Linked DNA regions of Drosophila melanogaster. The gene in region 3 interacts genetically with the main gene of each other region. Each region holds a gene or a part of one and is shown on either strand. Other genes may lie near its edges.

Region 1 (6,635 bases), about 10 Mb from region 3:
TTACTCAACGACGTATGCTTATTAGGTCGAACGTGCCCTGTCACGGGACTCCGGGCCAGGAAAGCCGTCTGCGGCATGGTTTCCGGACGGGCCCCATCCGATTCCAGCCCAGTAATAAAGGCCTTTGATTATGTTGCCCCGGGATCCCTTGGGAACGGGCAAACCTTGTTGTCTACCGCTTGTCTGGTCTTTCATAATTTACAGCCTCCCAAAAAAGCGGAATGGAAGCACCGACGCAGTTCTCTGTCCTTTGAAGATTTTGCAAGTTTAATTTATGTGGGTTTGTTTTTTCTTTTCTACTAGCAGTCTCAGCGCACATTAAAAATTCATTATCAGCATAAAGCTGGAAGGTTTCGGGAAGATGGGGTGGCTCAGCTTACCACGACAATTTTGTGGAAAACCAGGAACTACACGTGCAATTATTATCGCTGTCTGACCCAGTTGCTTCAAGGAGAAACGATGGCTTACCTGAATCGATAATTCCTGGCTGCACGTTAGTTTGTCATCCAATGAATCCTATTCGGAGTCCCTCACTTAGGATTCTGGAAACGAGAAACCATAGACAAAACGTGAGAGTTTTGCGGAACTAGTCGCGACTTCTTCTTATCCTTAACAAAGCACTCGCGACAACAACAATCGATTCTGTTCGTTTGCAGTTATTTCTTCCGCAAATGCAAATTGAATTCGCTATTGCGCTCTAATTTCGGCACATACACACGCATACGCACTCTCGCCACACATACACACGAACACAGAGAAACTGGTCAGCAGGCGAATGACGTCATTGCCAAGGATGCTGCGCGCATCTCAAGAACGCTGCCAGAAGTAGCACTTCATTTAAGGAACTGTGTTCTTGCTCTTAGTTGGAATCACTCAAGTCCGTTTCCCCAGAATTAAAAGTTCGCAAGGAGCCCGCCAGATATTTTATTAAAGTCAATTTAATTGCGACTGGCGCCAAGCACTCACATCTGGCTGTGATACTCGGAACTGGACTTACTGATTCAAGCGCGGACCTTCACCGTTCCTCGAAAAATTCAAAATTAACTGAAAGTATCCGCACATCCGCGCATTAACCCAACGGTTTATTGAAGTTTGGTTTTACCAAGAACTGATTCGAAGAGAGGACAGCACGCGAGACCCCGCAAAACACCAAAAACAAAAAGGCGGTAAGGTATTTTGATGTTGTCGTGCGGTCCAACTAAATGAACTACGTATATGTCAAAAGTAAAATCGACATATACGATACTTAGCTTGCACTAATTTGACCAATATTATAAATTGAAAAGTGAGTTGGAAACATCCTTTGCTACATCTGAATATGCAAGTGAGTGAAATCGGCAAAATAATTTAATCTCATTTCTATTCCGGAAGTATTCGATTCCAATCGACACCGCTTGGCTTGAAGCCGCGAATATTTCGATCTTAAGTGCAGTCATGAACCAGAGGAAGCTGATGCGATACTTTGCTAAAAACTTAGATATTCTGTTATAGAGGAATACAATGGCCGACCTGAAAAAATGTTACAGGTGTGTGCTTTAAACAAAATCTAGATGCGATCCATATGTAGAATTTTAATCAGTGTTGACATATCGATGTATGTGTTTTCAGAAAGCGCTGCCGCGGCCGTCGTGTGAACTACGACATATCGATGCATCGATATGTCCGAATGGAATCGGAAGGCATCGATTACCATCGAACTCGAAAAGTACTCGGTCGGCAAAACGGCAAGCGGCGAAAAACAGTGAAAAAAAAAGGGGGAAAGCGAAAAGACGTGCTCAGGAACTGCGGTCGAAGTCTTTGTGAGTGTGTGTGGGTGCAGCTGTCGCCAAACAAATGAAAAGCGCCTGGCTTGCATTAAAATCGGTAAAAAAAAAATCGGAAATGTGCACAGGCATCCAGCGAATGCAGCGACCTATTCGCCGGCGTCGGGACGCCGCCAGCTGAAACTGCACGGTCGAATTTGGCTGCATTTGCACAAACGCTGTGCTGACGCGGGGAAATGGGAGCATAAAAACCGAAACTTGTGTGCGAAATATGCGAATATGCGAAACCTTGGCTCCCAGTGCGATCTATGTGTGTGTGTGTGTGAGCCGTGCTGTGTGTCGGTGTTGCAGAACGAACCAAGTGGGAAGCAAAGCGAGAGAAGACGAAGAGGAAGAAAAAGAGCCGCTTGTACCTGCTCCGAAAACTGAAACATCCGAAATCGGAGGTGAAAAGGTGCTCTGATAGTGTTTAGCTGCAGTTTTAGGAGATGCAAACTGGTTAATTGCTACGTAACGCTATTTTTCCGCTAAATTACTTCACCACCCCTTCTTCTACGTTCAGCGGTGACTTTGGCTTAAGAAAATGAAAATGTGTGGCCATATTTTTTCCTCTCCGTCTTTCTTTCGCCTTCGCGCTCTCCCTTTTGAAACTCTCGCCGCGCGCTGTTCTCGCCGCCTCCGTTTTGTGCCGCACTTCCGAGATAAAGAACGCAAACGCGAGATAAATGCGAAATATTGTATCTGAGGAGCGAGGCAACATACTCATTGTTCTCATCGATTTGTTTTGTCCGACAGAAAAGTGCATTGCATCCGAAAAGCGAATATCCAGTATCCAATATCCATTATCCGAAAGCAGCTAATTACCGACAGACAAGGAATTATTTAGAGATCGCCGCCAAAATGTCGGAGGAAGTAGATCGCAACGATCCGGAGCTCAAGTACCTCTCGGTGGAGCGCAACCAGTTCAACGATCCGGCCACGCAGGCCGAGTGGACACAGAAGCGTCTGGTGTGGGTGCCACACGAGAACCAGGTGAGTCTACTTAAATGTAATGCCTACCCGTAGAGCATGTTCCTACTCTGGACGCAACCTCTGCTACGGGATTTCTACCCCGGAAGCCACGCCCGTTTCAGTGAACTACCTGAATAGACCCTATAGATAGCCTAAATGCAACAGGAACTGCTACAACTGAGATAAAAATACAGTCGATACATCATAACGCTGTTTATTTCGTGAAGTCGGTAGTCATTAGCCCATTATGGTTTTTTTTTTTTTTTTTGTAAAATTACCAAATGTACTTAATTTTCGTTTAATTTTCATATTCTTTTGCGTAAAAAATTGCTACATGTAACTATCTAATATCTAAGTATTACTTCGCAGTGAATGGTTATTATAGAACATAGTGTGTTCGACACATCGTGATAATATTTTAGCCCTAGCTGTACGTGCTCTAATCAATTTTCACAGTGTTTGTCCCCGGCTTTGCGCTTCTTATCAGCCAACACCTTTTGAGCCATCCGACTCACTCATCGATTGGTCATGAATCACGCTTCACCGATCCGTTTATTTTTAATTTTGAACAGGCCCAACTTCTTTGAATTTTCATTACATTCGCACCGCGGTGATAAACTTGGGTAAACATCCGTTGGCGTCGATGCTGAATCACTCTTTTCTCCTGCGCTGATGCTGAATTAATCTCACCGTAGTAGTGTGACACATTTAACTTCTTACTTGGTCAAATCCGCGACCATTTGGTACCAATTTGCATGCAGACGCTCTTCGACTCAGTGACTCACCTCCGAGGGAGAGTGGAAGCAGGAATGGCCCCAGTTCGCAGTTCCCACTAAGAGCGGGCCAAAACAAGTTTTCAATGTGGCTAGGTATTTGTGGTGTGGACTTGCTTGTGTGGGGCTTTCTGGCCTCAACCACACAGCCAGGCCAGCAAAGAAACGAGCCGAGATTGCGCCAAAGAATCGCTTCCCTCGGAGTTCGGGCGCCCGCTCTTGGCCTATAAATTCAAATTCAAAACTTTGGTCGACTGCTAGCGATCAAGCCTTATGATAACAAGCCGATTGTTTTGCTAATTTCGGTGTGGCTTGTTATTCTCTTCTTCAGTTTAAAGCGATTTCATTCAGGTGTCATTCAACTGCATTCCAACGACTTAATTTCAAGACCATAAAAAACGTAAACAGATAAAATTATCAACCGCTCCTTTCTCCCCTGGCTGCCCGTAATTGCTGTATTTGCCAGAGATAATTCCGTACATAGAATGGTAGCACTTTTGGGTGACTTCGTATAATAAAAGCAACATCGAAAACAAAAGCCAACAACTTCACATTTTTGTGTAATTACGCGATCACTTTAACAGACATTTACTTTACAATGGAATCTCACAAAAAGACAACGGCAGAGATAAAACCCAGAAATAAAACGAAAATAACGAAACGCTCGATTGTCATGAGTGGTCCGTCAGATTGTCTAAAGGCTAAAATTTCTTTGCGACTGACGAACGGCACATGAGACGGGTGGAAATAGTTAAGAAATTTGCATATAGCGCAACTGTTGCTCCGCTGGAATGTCCACAGATACAGCTACGTCTTAACGGGAACGGACCCGTCCAAAAGGGTATTCGCCAATTGTGTCAACACTCGTTTCGTTTCCAGCAACTGTTCCAGCTTTTCGAAATGTAAGCGAATTCGCTGAATAATGGCGGCGTCAGTCCACGTACGTGATATCCAAATTCAGTAATTTACTGGTGGATACACAAGGAGACCTTTTGTTCGTGGCTACATTTCGTTTCATGTTGTTTGCTGAACAGCGATGATTCATCGAATCAATTGCACAGAGAGCAAGTTTATTGGTGGGGATTAGATATATTGTACATTGAAGGTTTCGGGTTATAGGTTAATGTATATTTGCGATCTTGAAACTATTTAAATGCTTTTAATAGTTCATAGCTTACTTTTCCATTGTCCAACGATGAAATTGAAAAGTTAATACTTTGGAATTCGTGAACACGGTGGAAATGTGTTTACACCTCTTTTCTTTTTTCCCTCTTCTTCAGCGCTAATGCTCTTCTTATCCGCTGTCTTTGTTCAGGCATTCCTGAACGCCTCACTCCCGAGACCAATCTGAAAACTTTTTATATTGTTAGCCAAATTGAAGTCGGCTTAACCTTCGTCATGTCCAGAGAATCGATTCGATTGTAACGAACGGCGATCATTAGGGGGTCTCTGCTCACCCACACATGCTGCGTTTCATACTTCCACGCTTGTATGTGTGCTGCTCGTATTTATAACCAAAGAAACCACTTTGGACTTTGTTTGCGACCACTCCCACTCCGCTTCCGCGCCCCCGCCCTTTGGCGTGCCGCGATTGGTTCTGGCGGAGATGCCCGTGCCGCGCGAGTGTGTGTTTTCTTTTCGGTTACGGCAATGACAAACGTAGCCAGCTTTCGACTCTCGTCCGTCCGGTTTACGGTCAACGAACCTGCGCCTCGTATCACGTATGTGTAATATACGCTTCTTACCCTCTCCATCTCCACTTCCATCCTCAACAATGCATATACGTTGATCGATTAAGCGAAGGAATAAAATAAAAGAGTAACAAATTTTAATGGGCCCATCGAACGTTCGCATTTGGATCGTGATGGAAAAAGGGGGACCGGAGACATCTATTCATTATTCTGTTCATATTTACATTTTCGGAATAGTGTAAACAAAAGAAGTTGGCGAAAAACATACGCTCCCAGAGAGTAAATAATGGCCACAGATATATCTCAAAATCACCAATATTCTTATGTGTGCTGTTCGGCCGATACCTTGGCATGTTCAAGGTTGCGGTTGGGCACCCAAAAATAGTCAAACCCAAATCGGGGGCTCCCCTCTGGAATGCACTCCTTCCCAACATTCTTACTTTGATTCCCGCCTGTCTGATCATCACCAACATCTAGGTGTTGTTGATATATTTTCTTTGGTTTCGCTTCACCGATTGCCTGGAATGCCCGAGATGCCGTTGAGCGAGAATCCGAGACTGATGACCTCATATGCCCCAGCCTCTCGCGGCTGCCTCGCTGGGTAACTTCGGACAACTTCCCTGGACCGATAACTCCAATTCCTCTCTTGTGGGGCATTCCAATATCGTGATTCACGCACCAACTGTCGCAGCGGCTATAGCATTTTCCGATTCGGCGAACTTTTAGCTTCTTCTGCCACTGTCGCAAGCCTTGTGTATTTGTTTGTCCAAAGTGTCAAACGTTTTATGCACAAATGTTTTGCAGGCTGACAGCGGCTGCCCACAAAAAAGGCAGACGCCTGGGAAATGAATTTAGATACAGCGAAAGTACTCAAAATTTAGGCCTATATACATGCAGACGACTTTACCTTATGACTAATCTGTAAACTTTTCGCAGCGCGAAAATAATTTGCCGTAGGACCCAGCTGAGTATTCTAAAGAAGTCGTTACATGCTCTAAATGGTTTCATATACGCCATATATGCCCGAGAATAACGACTTTCTTATGGCTGTTTATCAACAGTACCGGAAAAGCGCAAAGATAACACAGGCAAGGCAAGAACCACCACGTCTCTGGTTTTTCCGAAACTGATCGCTGGGGCGTGTGCGTATTTAACTTAATGGACCCGAACCGGGCTGGGATGTATTGCAGATGCTTCTGCCCTGCATCGGCAGGCCGTTGTTGGTCTTAATGCATTTCTGTTTTGCAGCGGCGGCACGCCACTCCACCCTTTAATGACTGAGTTACGGGTTGCCCCTGATTTGATTAATGCCAATGCGTCGCGTGAACATGCTTCCCTTTGTTGTTGTTTCACTTGACTTCTAATTGAGGATGTTATTCTGTTGGTGTTCGATTAAA
Region 2 (6,532 bases), on a different chromosome or scaffold from region 3:
CCGGCTGAGAAGCCCTTGCGTTGACCCATCTGGCTGGCATCGGATGTGGCACGCAGTGCCTTCAACGTGGGCTGGCCATTCCGAGTGAAACTGGTGGGGGAGTAGTGCATCACACTGCCATAGTCGTATTCCACGCCGAAGCCGTACTGTGTCCTGGAACTGGACTTCTCGAAGTTGACCATCATCTCGGGCTTGATGTTGTCCTTCATCACGCGCACATAGGAGTCACGTTCGTGACGATTCTGCTCATGGAAGAAGCCCAGGGCGTGCATCAGCTCGTGAATGGGAGTGCCGTATGTACGCAAGCAGTTGGGCGACTGCAGATTCACTTCCTGGCGACCACCTAAGCGCCCAATGCTACTCCAGCAGCCAGACTTTCCGCTACCAATGGAGATGTAATCCTTTTCGGTGGTCCTGGGCTTGAAGCGCACGCATGTTTTGGTGTGGTATTCCTAAGATACAAAATCTTATTTGTAAATTGTAATAGGGACTATTACTGAAACCTCACCTTAAAAGCGTGGTTAATATTCCCCAATTCCTGGCTGGTAAAAGGACCTTTGATCTCGTAGGGCACAACGCCGCCCGGCCAGCGGGAACTCAGCGCCAAAATGCCATTACGAGTGCCATTGAATCGGGCGTCCCTGTAGCTCAGTGGAATCAGGATGTCACCTTCGTGGTAGGTTCCCAGCTCCTCGGGATTCAGCGGGGATTCCACACCGAGTGCCTCAACCAAAGCTCCAGTCGTCTCCACGTCCGGATTACCGAACAGAGTATCTCCAAGATCTGTCAAGTCAATCATTTCCTGGGAGTCCATATCCTCCAGGGGCATGGAATCTCCCAGAGAAATGCCCAGTATAATCAGTAGCAAAAGCGAACCAGTATTATTTTGCGATTTGCCCATTTTGCTAATTCCCCAACTGCTGTGATTTCTAACCAGGCTTACCCACATTATATAGTCCCACCTAGACCTCCAAAAATTGACGACATGTTGTCGGTGCTGCCTGTTTATGCTGAGTTCTCTTTGAAACGATAAGTCGGCGCTTTGTGGCCGTTTACATTTACATTAAGTACGTAGTTGCTATCCGCCGGCTTCTTGATTTATGGGGAATTTACTTTTATGCATTCCGACTTGAAAATATGTGCAGTGCGGAATTTTCGCAAGTTAAGATTTGCGGTATTATAAAAGGTTTATTCTATTTGGATTATGATGATGTAGGTCACAACTTACAAAACCCATAACTGCCGTTGGTAATTTAAGTGAAGTTTACGTTTTCATGTTCCCGCCATAAATTAAACTTTACTATGCTCGTGTATTTTGGAATGTCACCTAGACATACACACGATATTAATTGATATATTGAATAGTTATATCAGTAAAGTTTTATGAAAATGTAATTAACGGTTTAATTCTTGTGCGAAATCAATTCAAGAACAAAATATTTTTTTTGTACATATTGTACCACTGTGCAACTTGAATATCAGTGTGGCCATGCATGTTGACTCTATATCAAAATCCAGCCAAACCTAGCCAAGCGGACTGGTCACACTGCACCATATATAAGCCCACGAAACGGATATCGCCGATTCAAACGGTCGAACATTTTTCTTGCTGCTCGTACGTACGTTTTATTGGTTGCTCGCGCTCGTAACGTTTTTTTCGCCCCGTTTTGGCCAATGTGTGTGCGCGCGCGTGTGTGTGTGCTGCTTGCAGTTCAAAAGGGCAGCGACAACAACAAGAACAGCGCACCTCTCTTTTAAGCCAAGTCTTCGGCGCTCGTATGTGTGTGTGTGTGTTGGTGTGATTCAGAATCGTGGCCTGGGAAGAAATGGCAAATTAGTTGGCTCAAAGTGGAATCTCTGTGCTCAATATTCAAATTCAGGCTAGAAAGTGTCGCGTGCGAAAGTTTGCAAATAATACAACTAGCAGAAAAAGAGGAATATAACTTAAAAAAAATAAAAATAACCTGTTCTAAGCCAAGTGCCGATTGCGCGCGTGTGTGTGTGTGCGTATGAGTGTTTGCGTGGAGCAGAGAGAAGGGAGAATGCAATTACCAACAACAACAAGCTCAATGAGTATCGTTTGAATAGCAATAATATCTAGCCAAAAGCAACCCTTTCCAATACGAAAACTCGACTTGAGCCAACAAATCAGCGATCATGGCTAAAATCGCCAATGCGTCACTGTCGCAACAACAAAAACAGCGGCAAGCAGAAACAGCAACGACCACAACAACAACAGTGGCGGCATCAGTAGAAACAGCAACAACAACAGCAAGAAGTCGAGACCGCACGAAAAGCGCAGCTCAAATTACGTCGCATTTGCTCAAGCGCGCCATTTCAGTTTATTCGTCGCCTCAATGGATACCGCTCTTCATACTTATTTACTTAGCAACAGGTGAGAGAGAACCCTGAGAGGGAGCTAGCGAGTGAGTGAGAGGGAGGGCGATAGGCAGTCGAGGACATTCAGGAGGAGAGAGCGAAGATGGGGACATGAGAGAGCAACACGGTGTTTACGCGGTTCTTAAGCTACAGTGATCACTCCACAGCACTGAACTTGCCCGTTATAAATTATTAAAATGTATATTAGATGCCCATTTTAAATGGAATTTGTAATGTTGTTATTGTGTTTAAGCCTTTGGCTGCTCATATGATTAATGAGTTAATGAGATTGAGTTACGGAAGTCACACTGTAAATAATTTATATGATGAGCCACATGCATTCTTTAGCTTAAACATTTGCTGATGTTTCAAAAGCTCGTAATCGAAAAAAAAGAGCAACAGGTCATGTGTGTGTGTGGTGGGGCATTCGTGTGTTTTGGGGATGTTGACCAAGTCATGTTGGGTAAAAGGAATTTGGATTTTCAATGATTTCGGGCCTACGAAAAACTCGTTCAACGGGTTTTCCTTCAAGAAGTGACTCATGGAGCTGGCTTACCTGAAGTTTGATTGTGTTAATTATACACTCATTTCTAATTTTTGATGATTGTGTGCTCGGTCTTATCTTGCAAACAAAAGGAATGCTTAGAAATGTATTAGCTTCGATTGCGTATAAATTTATATTTAGTAGAGTACAACTTTAGTCGCTGAGAGAGATAATTAATCAAATTATAGCTTCAAAGGCGGTTAATGTTAGCAATCTTGGCCAAGAAGAATTAATTACTGAAACCAGAAGAGATATTTTAACGTGACCCGCATTTTTTACACACTGTAGCTTACAAATGGATATCATATTTTTAGGTAAATAACAGGGAATCGTAACAAATTATTGTTTCTGCATTTGTTGATACTGGTGCGATTTTTTGGTAATAAAACCTCATTTGTCTGCATTTTCAAAGCGCTTTTAGCGATATCACAACAGTGAAATCTGTGAAACTTATCGCATAACGATCATAATAATTGATTCACAACTCTTGCTGACTCATTATGTGTAATTTTCTGTTACATGTTGTCCGCGGCTCAATTGTTTGGCTGGCTTAGCATTGTCTGCCCCCTTTTTCCAACGGATTGTGCAAAAACGACCTCAAAAATTGGGTCTATTTATTTACAATTCGAGTACCAACCCTCCAAACGGCCAGCCATCCGGCTGTTGTTACGCGCAATCTTATCTTTTGGCCGGAAAGTGAAGTACAACAGTTGCAAAAGCGCGGCCAACTCAACGTCAGCAATACCGCAATTCCGTTGATAGGTTGATAAGAAGAACACTCAGGAGAAGGGAGCACAGATAGAGAAAGAGTTTTCCAACTCGAAGTAGGGAAAGCCCTGGAGTGCAGCGAAAACATAGTAAACCAGTTTATCAGCTCTTGAAGCTAATAGTAAACAAATTTTCAGCTTAATAATTAAAAAAAATCCAAACGAGTGAAAAGCCCTAATAAAGAGCTATAATTCATTCATTTCCATGAACACATTTTCTTTTAATTGTAAAGAACCAACCTCTCTATAGGCCCTGTATTTTCGTATACCTTTTATCGTAGAATTTATCAAATGACTTTGGTTTATGATTGACAAGGAAAACCGACGAATAAAAAGAAGAGAAAATGAATGTCTGGGCTGGGAAATCCCTGAAAGGCATCACAGCAACTGGTTTATGGCAGCTTCCATCGTAAAATCCAGACACCGACAGCGAAGATCATCAGCGTCATCTTCACTTCGAGAGTGGTTTCTGTACGGCTTTCGTTTGAATTTCCGCCCTAAACAGATATAATCCATCATTTTCAGGGGAAAAATCGCGGCACAGGTATACTAGGCACGCTGGAAAAGTGGAGGGAAAACACAAATGAACCGAAACTACCTGCATTGCGTTAACGATAACAACACGTGACCCCGCGAGTTTATGGAAATTCTCTGGCACGTACATAAATGAAAATCGAGAATGGAATGGAAATTGTACGCTGGACACACCCGCGTTCTCCGCTCTCCGGTGTCCGGTGTTTCAACCTGGTCAAGTGTTAAAGTGCAATCGGCCGTGACGCGGGTCGTGGGCCATGTTCCGTGGGCCTACGCAGCCGGCCGCGACCATTGCCTGACGTTGGCCATTAGTGCAAGTCGTTAGCCAGGTCTATAAAAATAGCCAGAGTATAACTGAAAAAGAACTGATTTGCCCCAGTCCTTTAAAGGTTAGGGCGTACTTTACTACCCAGTACTTAGTGGGGAGTGGGGAATTGTGGCGGAAGTGGAATTGAATGCAATACTGAGAATGCAGGGCGCACATTTCAGGACCAATTTTGGTTATAGCCGAAATAATTGGGATGTGGACTCTTGGTATGATTTTGGACTAAGCATAGAAAGTTGTAATTAGGTAACTTTAAGTCGAGACAACTGCTTAGTTCTGTCTAGTTTCTCCTTGCAATGTTCCACGTTTTCTGCGACTGCATCGATTAGCCAGCCACCTTGGGAAATTACCGATGCACAAAAACCACAAATGTGAGAAACAATATGACATAGTGGGGAAAATATTATACTAAACTGAAAAGACAGTGGCAGCTTTCGCTTTTACACGATATTAATTCCAAAAATTTATTCGATGCAAACAAATGTTTAAAAGTTGTGGGCGTTGTTCAATGCTGTCCGTTGGATTGTCTTTATCGCGGTGATCACGTAGTGCCGTTTTATCTGTCGCTATTTGCATACGCAGCGTACTGCCAGCAACAACAAATTCCATTGTTAGCATTGAGTCACACCAACAACGATACCGTGGGCCACAACGCACCAAAATCGAACACAAATTGTTTGGTAATTGAGGTGGGAAATTGGGGAACATACTCTAAGGTTCTGAAGGCAATTAACGGGCTCAGCATGCGTGGTTTTATTATTTATTTCAGACCATATTAATAGCATGTTGTAGTGCTAAACACACAAACTAAAGCTTATATATGAGGTAGCAGCCATTTAATAAATAATAAAATATTTATGGAATTATTACTTCTATAAGTTCATTCTACTCACATCATATGCCCTGTGGAAAGTGTAAAGTCACTTCCTGATATGATTTTGTACATTTTTTCCATAATTACTCACAGCCCTTAATTTATTTTGAAAACCTTACCGCGGTGCAACGCCCACGTACTGCGTTTATACTTCAAAAGTCTGTGTTTGCCCAGGTTGTGGGTTCCGAAGGTTCTAGAGGTTCATTCCGGTGGATCTGGTGGTTCTAGTGATTCTGGTGGATGAAATGGTGTTGCTCTTTGGGGACGCACCGGAAAAGATTCTCAGGTGTGTTTTCGGTTTTGTTTTATTCAACAGTTCATTGCTTTGTGCCAGTTTGTGAACGAGTCTGGCCGCCCCTTTTTCCAGGCCCACAGAATGTACAAGGGCCGCCTTGTTGGCAACACACAGAAAGCGGTCGAGCAACAACACACCACTGGCTGCCACAAAACTGGTTCCCAGGCGCGCCTGCGCAGAGGTGGCTCCAAAACAAAACAAAAAAAAAAGCACACACAAAATTTTGAACGGCGCCAAAAGAGCGGGGGAGAGAAAAAGCGACTCTAATTTCGAGTGTGCCCCATTCTAAGCATTTATTTTCGGGGCTCTTTTCGCTTGAAAGTCATCTTGGTGTTCCCAGAACCAAGATATTAATGAATAAACGATAACTGTTTAAACGTAAAGATTTATTCACACGGTTAAATATAGACAAGTTCAACGAGAAATGGCACAAAAAGAAAAATGAATTAACTAAATTGAAATAAGCTTATTCGTGAACTCATTTCAACTTCAATTGTTACTTTAAACTTTTCACACTTATGCTGGCTAATATGAAAACTTGATATGAGTTGCTTTGATATCATTGCCATTATTTACTACCCTCTATTTTGATTTCGTGCACAATTTCATGAGAGTAACCTGAGCGAATCCACTGGATTGGTGACGCACTCAAACTTTTTAGTGGGTGCGTATTTTTTGGGTTATTCTCCTTATAATCTGCAGCTTTCATGAGAAACGTTCATTTATGAAAACTAATTAGCTTCTGGCCGCTTCAATGTATTGTTACCATATTGTGTGGCCGAAGCGGTTTTATTTAAATATTTAAAAATATTTC
Region 3 (8,373 bases):
TCAAATGTCAAAGTTGACATTTGGTTTTGGGCGGGATTTCAAATTCGTGGGCAAAGAGAAAACGATAACAGAGAGAGCAATAGAAATTCATAAGTTCGTTTATCTATCAGATTCTGAAGATAATGCTACGACACTTTACAGTTAAGCTTCTACAAAATAACAAATCCTTAAAAAAGTTCAGTCAATGTATAAATATAAATATATTTCGCCACTAATAGTTTATTAAAATATATTTTTTTATTTAAACTAGAAAATAAAACTTACTTTTAGCTTAATTTGTAATTGTAAAATGTCTTTTTAATTTATTTTACTGTAAACCGCTTCGTTTTTAACTCGTATCTATTTACTCTTATTTTTGCAGTTTTCTGTTATCAATCTGTTTGTCTCTGTGTGTTACGTGATATCAAAATATTTTACCCAGCTAGCAAATGCAGAAAATGCCCTCGCAAATTCTGAACGACGGCAGCAGCGTCAGCTTGAATAGCGCCAGTATGAACATGGCCAATACGCCCAATAGTATAACGGTAAAGACCGCCTACAATGGCCAGATTATCATTACCACCATCAACAAGAATATCTCATACGAGGAGCTGTGCTACGAGATTCGCAACATTTGTCGATTTCCTCTGGATCAGGTAAAATATATATAAAGTACTGCACGTTACAGAAGTGTAATTCATTGAGCGTTTTGTTTAGCCATTTACCATCAAATGGGTAGATGAGGAAAACGATCCCTGCACCATATCAACGAAAATGGAATTGGACGAGGCCATACGACTTTACGAAATGAACTTCGATTCCCAGTTAGTCATTCATGGTAAGTCTGCTCAAAATTTAAAATTGCAAAGATACGTTAGAGTAATAAATAAAAGAAAGTCGAGTTATTGGTTATTATTGGTTAAGGAATTTCGATTGTAATTTAAGTTCGCTTCTAAAACTGAAAACGATAAACTTATCTAATAAGGTCAGTAAACTAATGTGAGCGGAAAGCACTATTAAACCAAAGTAAGCCTACTGGTTATCTAGCAAAAGATACAGTATCTGCATTCACAGAATTACTCTTCTTTTTATTTTCAATTCTCCAAGTTTTTAAATGATTTACTGCTGCCGCCGCAAGGTAGGCAGCAAGTAATTAATTAACCAATCGGCCACACATTTCGTCTTCGCTTCCATAACTTAAGCAGGCACATTTAAGCCTGATTAAACAATGTGAGCTCGTCTTGTTGGCTCAATAAACTTGAGTTTTCCCCGCGAGTTTTCCGGTTGCCTTTCTGCCTTCGCAGGCTGCCAAAAGGCAGCGTCATCCACTCGAGTTAATAACATAAAATATTAATTAACCCGTACGAACACTCGCATGCTCGAAAAGCTTGAGTCTTGTGGCAATTGCCTTAGGCAGTCAGCGTTCTTCTACGTTTGTTCACTCTTGCCTACCTCCGACTTATTTGCATATAAATTCTGCTTGGATCTTGGCTCGACGGCATCATTTATAATTCATTATAATTAAATTGTTTGCTTCGTGTGGGTTTAAGTTTTCGCCAGCTTTTTTTGGAATTTTAATTTTCCTGTTGTGCGGTTTTCGGCGATCTCACTCATGCACACTCTGATGCGAGTTTTGTGCTTAATTATGCCTGCCGCAACAACAAAAAGGTTTCACTTACCACACTCGTTTGGCGAATGACAAACACAAAACCCTTTTATACAGTAAATTACTAAAAAAACGAGGGCCTGAGGTTAAAGCATAATAAACAAGGAATACACTCTTCTTGGCTACGAATGTAGGACATTTTAGTTTTATTGGGTAAGATACTTAAACTGATACTTAGTACCCAAAATTGTTTTTACCATTTAATTTTATTGAGTATTAATATCCCTTGCAAAGTGTAGTTCTTATTCAAATTTTTCCGAGTTATCCATATATCCTTAACCATTTCATACCTGTGGTCATTCTGTTTTTCCGAACACCGATATGTAAAACAAGAAAAAAGCCAACTAACGGCCCAGCAGATATGATAACTGCCAGTCGCACTAAACAAAGTTCGTGGCTGGTGTGGGGTTTTGATGGAGAGGGTGTTACAGTTTCCGCTACCCTTTTTATGCGGCTTTGTTTTTGTTCTGGGGAGCAGGCTTCCTGATATTTTGTGGCCAGTCCACATCTTCACATATGTACATACATATCTCCGAATGACAAAAAAGAACAGTGTGTAAGGACAACATGTTGGTTGTTGTTGTTGCATACCCGGTACTTTTCAAGGGGTATGCTGTATTCGTTAAAAACAAGCGTACTCCAAGTTCTTTATTCATCTATTTTTCAGGACATATCCCAAAAATTATGCTACTTAAATATTCAATTGCCTGGTAGTGGGTAGCTTTTCTGTCGCAACACTTGACAGTCTCATTCTTTCTTGTTTTTATTCTTGTGTTATGTGGCCACGTGTGAAAAAATGCGGCTTAAAATGTATTAAAAGTATTCTGTGTGCGTCTGTTTTCCTGCGACTGTGTGTGTGTGCGTACGGGAGAGGGACATTGTCAAGGTATTACGTTACCGTTACACGCACTCCTGCATATGTTAGGATGTCCTGTCTGTGTGTTTGTATGCCGCACATGTTTTCTGTTTGTGTGCTTATTGTTGTTGTGTTGATTAGTAAATGGCTGTTGGTGAGTGTGTTTTGCATTTATACAAGCCCGTGTTTTGACTTCTCTGTTGTTGCTTCTCTTGTTTTTTGGTTTCGTTTTTTTTTTTTAATTTTTTCTTATGTTGGAAAGTGTGTTTCCGTAGAACTTCGCTTCACCTTCCGGCTTCATCTCCGCCCAGCAAAAACCTCTGCAGCTCTCCCAAAAACAAAGCAATACAAAAAGTTAGAATCTGTAAGCTAACGGTATAATTTATGCGCCTGCAATATGGCAACGCTGTCCGGCACACACTCACACACATACGCATATGTACATGAAAAACTTTTGTCCAGGTCCGAAGAACTTTTTTTGCAGCTCATAAGGTCGATACACAAGATGCCATTACCCAAGAGCGAGACAGCGATGGCCAACAGAGAATAGATGGAAGGACAGAGAGAGAGAGAGAGCGAGAGAGCATTTCCCCAGATGCCACAAAAAACAGCTGAGCCAAAGAGAAAGGTATTGCCATCCATTGAATCTAAGATGGCAATGCTAAAGCGCCGGTCTGCGGCTTTTATTTTCGCTCTCTCTCCAAAAGTGAAGTATATTCACAAGGCCACGACAGGCTGTTTGGAGCTAGAAAGAGCGGGGAAGGGAAATTTTCTTTTTCCAATCCTTGGACGAGGACTGAATTTTAGTAACATCTGCCCCACTCAGTTCCGGATCATTTGGATCACCTTCATCCATCGAAACGGATCCGGAATTGTAATTTCAGATTATAGAATTCTTACTTTACTCTTACTCTGTTTACGTGTTGGAATAAAAAATGTTTTTAAAAATTATATTTTTCATTTCTTCATTTTCGAGACAGTCATAGCAAAATAGCTTACCTAAAATGAATTGTTATAAAATATTTTTTTTAATAATAATTTTTTTATAGTCATTCATTAAAAACGTCTACTAAGAAACTACTAAAAGAACAAAACATTTTTTCTCAAATTATCTAGTTTCTTTTTTCGCTCTTGCTCTTTACTTTTTCCATTCGCCGAGACTCGCTCTCAATAGCTTTCTCCATGGCTTTCCGCTACATTCTCCCCGAAAAATTTCCCTAGCATACTTCTCTGCATCGGCATTTCACTCGCGCGTTGGCCGCTCGCCTGTGTGGAAGTGCCGTGCGGATTTCGATTCGAAGATATAACTCCCCGGGCCTTACAAACAAATACATAATTATAGATATATATATACATATACATATATATGTATACAAATATACAAGATTTTGCACAGCTAAACGGCAAATCGAGTTTCTGCGCTGTGAATTAACAAAAGAAAGCGGAAAAATCGAAGTTGTATGTCGGAAAAGGAGTACAAATCAGTGAATAACATAATTCCATATAATTATTTTCTTAAACATTTCCACTCGCTCTTCGGCAAGTCACGAAAATCTTGCGGAAAAAATCAATTGGCCCTGTGCAATATTTTTTGACTGTTCTGCCGAAGTTGTCGTACATTTCTGATTAGTTGCCATACAATTTTCCGCTGAGAGAAGGGGTCGGAAAATGGGGAGGTGGAAAGGCAATGGACGTGGAATGATTAACATAATTTTGTGAATGTTTCTTTAATGAACGTTTTTTAGTGCTGCTAATGAAGTAAAAACTTTATGAAAGAGTTACCCCAGAGATGTGATGGAATTTATGACCGTATCTCGCAAAATCAATATATTTTGAAAGATTATAATTTACCCCTTTATAAAGTATTAATAATAATAATTCATTCTTGTTAAAAAAAAAATTGAATATAAATATGGTTTTTTAGTTTCTATTAATAAAATCCTTGCTTTTATTCACTTTCTTAAAGTATAAAAACGTAAAAAACAAAACGCAGACAAAAACGCAGGTGAAATCCCACACACTAAGCATTTTTCTTTTATATTTTAAATACCTCAGTGCAATACAATTAAAGTTCTAGAACGCTTTAAAAACATACCATTTCCTATGCCTCTATCATTTTGCACTTAGACAAAGGGGAGCAACCACGATAAAAAAATCAAAGAATTGATTTCCATTTTTGTGGGTTCCCTTACACTTTTTCTGCATCACGCTGTTCACTTTTTTCCCAAATTTTTTGGCTGCTGTGCGCCAGACACTGGCAAACAAAACCACACACACTCGCACACTCACACACACTTGCAAACACATATGACGCAAAATGAGGCAGTGTGTGTGTGTGTGTGCGAGTGTGTGATGGTGTGCGAGAATCCCCACCCTAAACTTGACCTCAGGCATTTGCACTTCATCAAGCGCTTCTTGCACCTCGGCGACCGTCTGGTTGCCCAAACTTGGCCCAAACCGACTATACTATATAGACGAGATGGATCCATTTCGTATGCATACATACATATATGTAAGGCATATATGCACATATACTATATATATTTATGTACATATACATATGTATATAATATGAGTCAGTGGGCTAGTAAGAAGCTGCAGGGCGAAACAATTTCTTTTTATTCATTCTTTGCGGAAAGCGTTTTGCTGGCCAAGCTGTCGCCCTGCCATTTAAACTTGTTCGTTTCTTTTTGGCCCGAAGGCTTTCACTCGAACCAGGTGTGTGTGCGTCTCCTTTTGCCAAAGTTAAATCAGCAAATTTCCACTGCTTTTTTGGGTACCCTGGGGTTCTGTTTTTGGTCTGTGTTCCTTTTCTTTTATTTTAGGTTTGCCTATGCAGCCTCTGGCAGATTCGGTACCCAGTTCGCTTGCTAGCTGGCCCCATTATGATTGTTGGGCAAATTTTAATGATGCCATTGGGCTTAATGAAATTATTGTTAGTTCAGCAAACAAGAAAGCCCATTTCGGTATTGTTAGGGGATCAGTGCAAATGTACGGATGTGGGCGGAATTGGTTGCTGGTCATATGTATATGCCTCATTACGGATGCCTATATCATATCGTTGATGCAGAGAGAAAAAGCTATAATTATATTATATTATTAATCATACAGTAAAATGTACAACTTTGAGGACCTTATGCTTAAACTTTAAGCTTTACGAGTCTCAATACTTACATTTTATTTAAATTTGTTTAAGTTGCACATACACAACAGTGTCAAATTTTTCTAGATCCCTGAAGCTCGATTACTATCTGTTTAGCTCTGTTTTAATATAATTTGTATCCATCCATGAAGTTGTTAATATTTATAGAATAAACTAGCGTCTTTATTCACGTTTTAAGGTACATTTCGCAGATGGGCATTCTTTCTGTAAGTGGGAACTTTATGGCATTTCCATTTTGCCGCTTTTCTCTTTTTTAAGCTGTGTGAAATTTTATATCCACTGGAGGTCGAGGTGGGCGGCAGGTGGCAACTCGCCCCGCTTGACGTCACTCGGAAAAGCCAAATTGATGTTTAACTATTGATGCCTCTGGTCCGGAGTATCTGGTATCTGTTGGCCCAAAGATGGTGCCGCAGTCCTTTTGGCGAACATCGCCTGCTCAGGTTTATCGTTATGGTTTCACAGGAAACCCATCTCCCCAAACGCTTCTTTGCCAAAGTTCAAGAGTGGGCGGATGATTGAGGCGCTGGAATGGTCAATAATTCGTGGGCGTGGCGGGCTAAATATCCAAATTTGATGGGTTTCTGATGTAAGCAGTCGTGTGCTTATTTAGGCCATTGAAATTCTTGAATGAGGCCGTAAATAATAAACAATAGCTATTGGGAATATCTAATCAATAGCTTTTTGCTTTAAAAACGCAGCTTTATTGATATTAAACATTTATGGCAGCATTTTTATTAGGCCATGCAATGCAGTGAAAATATATTAAATTACCGAAAACAAAAAACAGAAAACTTAACTTAATCATGTAACAAATTGAAATCAAGAAGTATAAATAGAATAGGATTTAAAGACATCTATTGTGGGCACTTTCCCTATGCAGTAATTAACTAATCGGCTTAAAAACTTTAAAACAAAGCGTGTACTTTAAGCTTGTTAAATAATTTTCTTGTTTGTAAATCAGCTTTAATCTAGCTTAGAGCTGTGGGATTTTAGGACTTTGGTTAGTCCAACAAAAGAGGTTTCTATGGATGGAGCCAGGAAGGCTTTAGTGTAGGTGGCTGGACTGTTGGGTTGTTTGGGATGCTCTGTTCCCATCCTGGACAAACAAGCAGGCAACCAATATTCATGCTCCAATTGCAGAGAAAACAATGCCGGCGGAGTGTTTATATTTAGCAAACGCTGAAGCATAGTGCCAGTGCAAAAGAGGGGAATGGGGCTAGGGAAAACGGGATGAGTTGAAGGGGACTGGCTAAATTTAATTCGAAAATGCATCAGATCCTCTTTTTGTGCACACCATTCAGTCACCAGAGACTGCATCATCAGCAGATAGCGTGGAAAACAAAGAAAATGCCGAGAAAATGAGTGCCAAACAAAGGGATCTGCTTGCCTTGTCACGACAAGGCTCTTGTGTCAAGTGGATGCTGTCCACCTAAGGACCTCGCCACCCCCTTTTTCGACCCACTTCGACCCTCGTTAATCATGCGAATTATGCATGAAAGTGGAGTGCTTAATTTCAATTGTCTAAACAACAAGCGATTGCGATGTGACCTACCAATACACTTGAAGAAAATTTTCTGTTTACACTTGACTGCATCGATGGGTGGGCTTTTGCCCTGGGTTCGCCTTTCACTGGAATACAGTGTACGCTCAAGAGAAAGAAAGTGTTTAATCACATTATAATAGTTTGGGATACTAACTTCTATTAGCATTACTTTTCATAACATAAAATATATATTTTTATGTTTCTATAATTACCCATCTCATCTTTTGAATAAAAACCTTCGAGTTTACTGCACAGAGTCTTCACTGTACATGGCTGAAATGTAGGAATGGCAACAGAAGATTGCATACTTAAAAGGGCGATTGCGAGCAAATTTCCCTGCGCGCGTCGACCGATTTTCTCTCTCTCTCTGGATTTTCCTTACCTTCTCTGGCGCTTTCTCTCCCACCTTCTCAATAATTTTCGCTCGCTCTTGGCTGCCTTTCACGCCTTTGTCAATTTGCAGCAACTTGTGCGCTCGTTTGACTTGGGTTAAATTGTTTGTGATTGTCGCAGCCGTGTGTCTCTGTGTGTGTTACCAATTTCTCCAAGCAACTGTTTCTTGTGTGTGTCTGTGTGTGTGTGTGGGTGTCCTGACAGAGTTGTCAGCTGTTCGGCCTGCATTTCTCTCGGTTTCCCCGCTCGTTTCTCTCTTGTCTTTCCCATTATTACACAATTTATATATTTTTTTTAGGTGTGGTTTCTGCGGCGTCTGCAACCGGCCACGCCCATAGCCAAACGCCCACCTTCCCTATCCCCATAACCCCTCTTCCATCGCCCAACGCCCTTCTCACGGCCATATCCTTGTGTGTGTCTGAGTTTTTCTTTTAATCAATCATTACGAACTGCGAGATCAGCAAAGTGGGCGGAGTGGGGGATACGCCGCCTGTCGTTTGGCTTTGAAACTTTGCATTGCATAGTTTGGTGCGCCATGTAACTGTAATTGCAACTGGGACCTTGTTCCGCTTTCCTTCGCGATTTACTTTCTCCGACCACCCGCTCTCCCCGCGACTCAGTCCCCACTGAATCCAATTTTATATACGCTCCACTTAAGAGGGGGGTTTATGCTAAGTAGAAATATTGGTGGCACTTAGTCAAGCAACGCTGGCAACGGAGTAAATCAAGTTGAAGTGATAGAAAGATTGAGTTATAACGATTTCTTTGCGAAA

Evidence for each region. Genes that interact genetically often act in the same process or in processes that back each other up.
Region 1: of aPKC (region 3) and zip, changing one enhances a phenotype caused by changing the other (phenotypic enhancement), as found in Drosophila melanogaster (one study listed by BioGRID).
Region 2: of aPKC (region 3) and crb, changing one suppresses a phenotype caused by changing the other (phenotypic suppression), as found in Drosophila melanogaster (one study listed by BioGRID).

The regions. Positions count from the first base shown.
Region 1 is NT_033778.4:25,006,540-25,013,174, reverse strand, and holds the start of zip (zipper), read left to right. Parts: upstream 1-1,711; 5' UTR 1,712-1,833; coding exon 1,834-1,863; intron 1,864-1,966; exon of another isoform or gene 1,967-2,075; intron 2,076-2,558; coding exon 2,559-2,795; intron 2,796-6,635. UniProt on the Drosophila melanogaster protein: Nonmuscle myosin appears to be responsible for cellularization. Required for morphogenesis and cytokinesis. Necessary for auditory transduction: plays a role in Johnston's organ organization by acting in scolopidial apical attachment.
Region 2 is NT_033777.3:24,293,470-24,300,001, forward strand, and holds the start of crb (crumbs), read left to right. Parts: upstream 1-1,608; 5' UTR 1,609-2,157; coding exon 2,158-2,395; intron 2,396-6,532. Other genes in the region: CG5715 (uncharacterized protein), read right to left, coding at 1-452, 509-901.
Region 3 is NT_033778.4:14,953,830-14,962,202, reverse strand, and holds the start of aPKC (atypical protein kinase C), read left to right. Parts: upstream 1-3,746; 5' UTR 3,747-3,959; intron 3,960-8,373. UniProt on the Drosophila melanogaster protein: Serine/threonine protein kinase which is required for apico-basal cell polarity in the germ line as well as in epithelial and neural precursor cells, for epithelial planar cell polarity and for cell proliferation.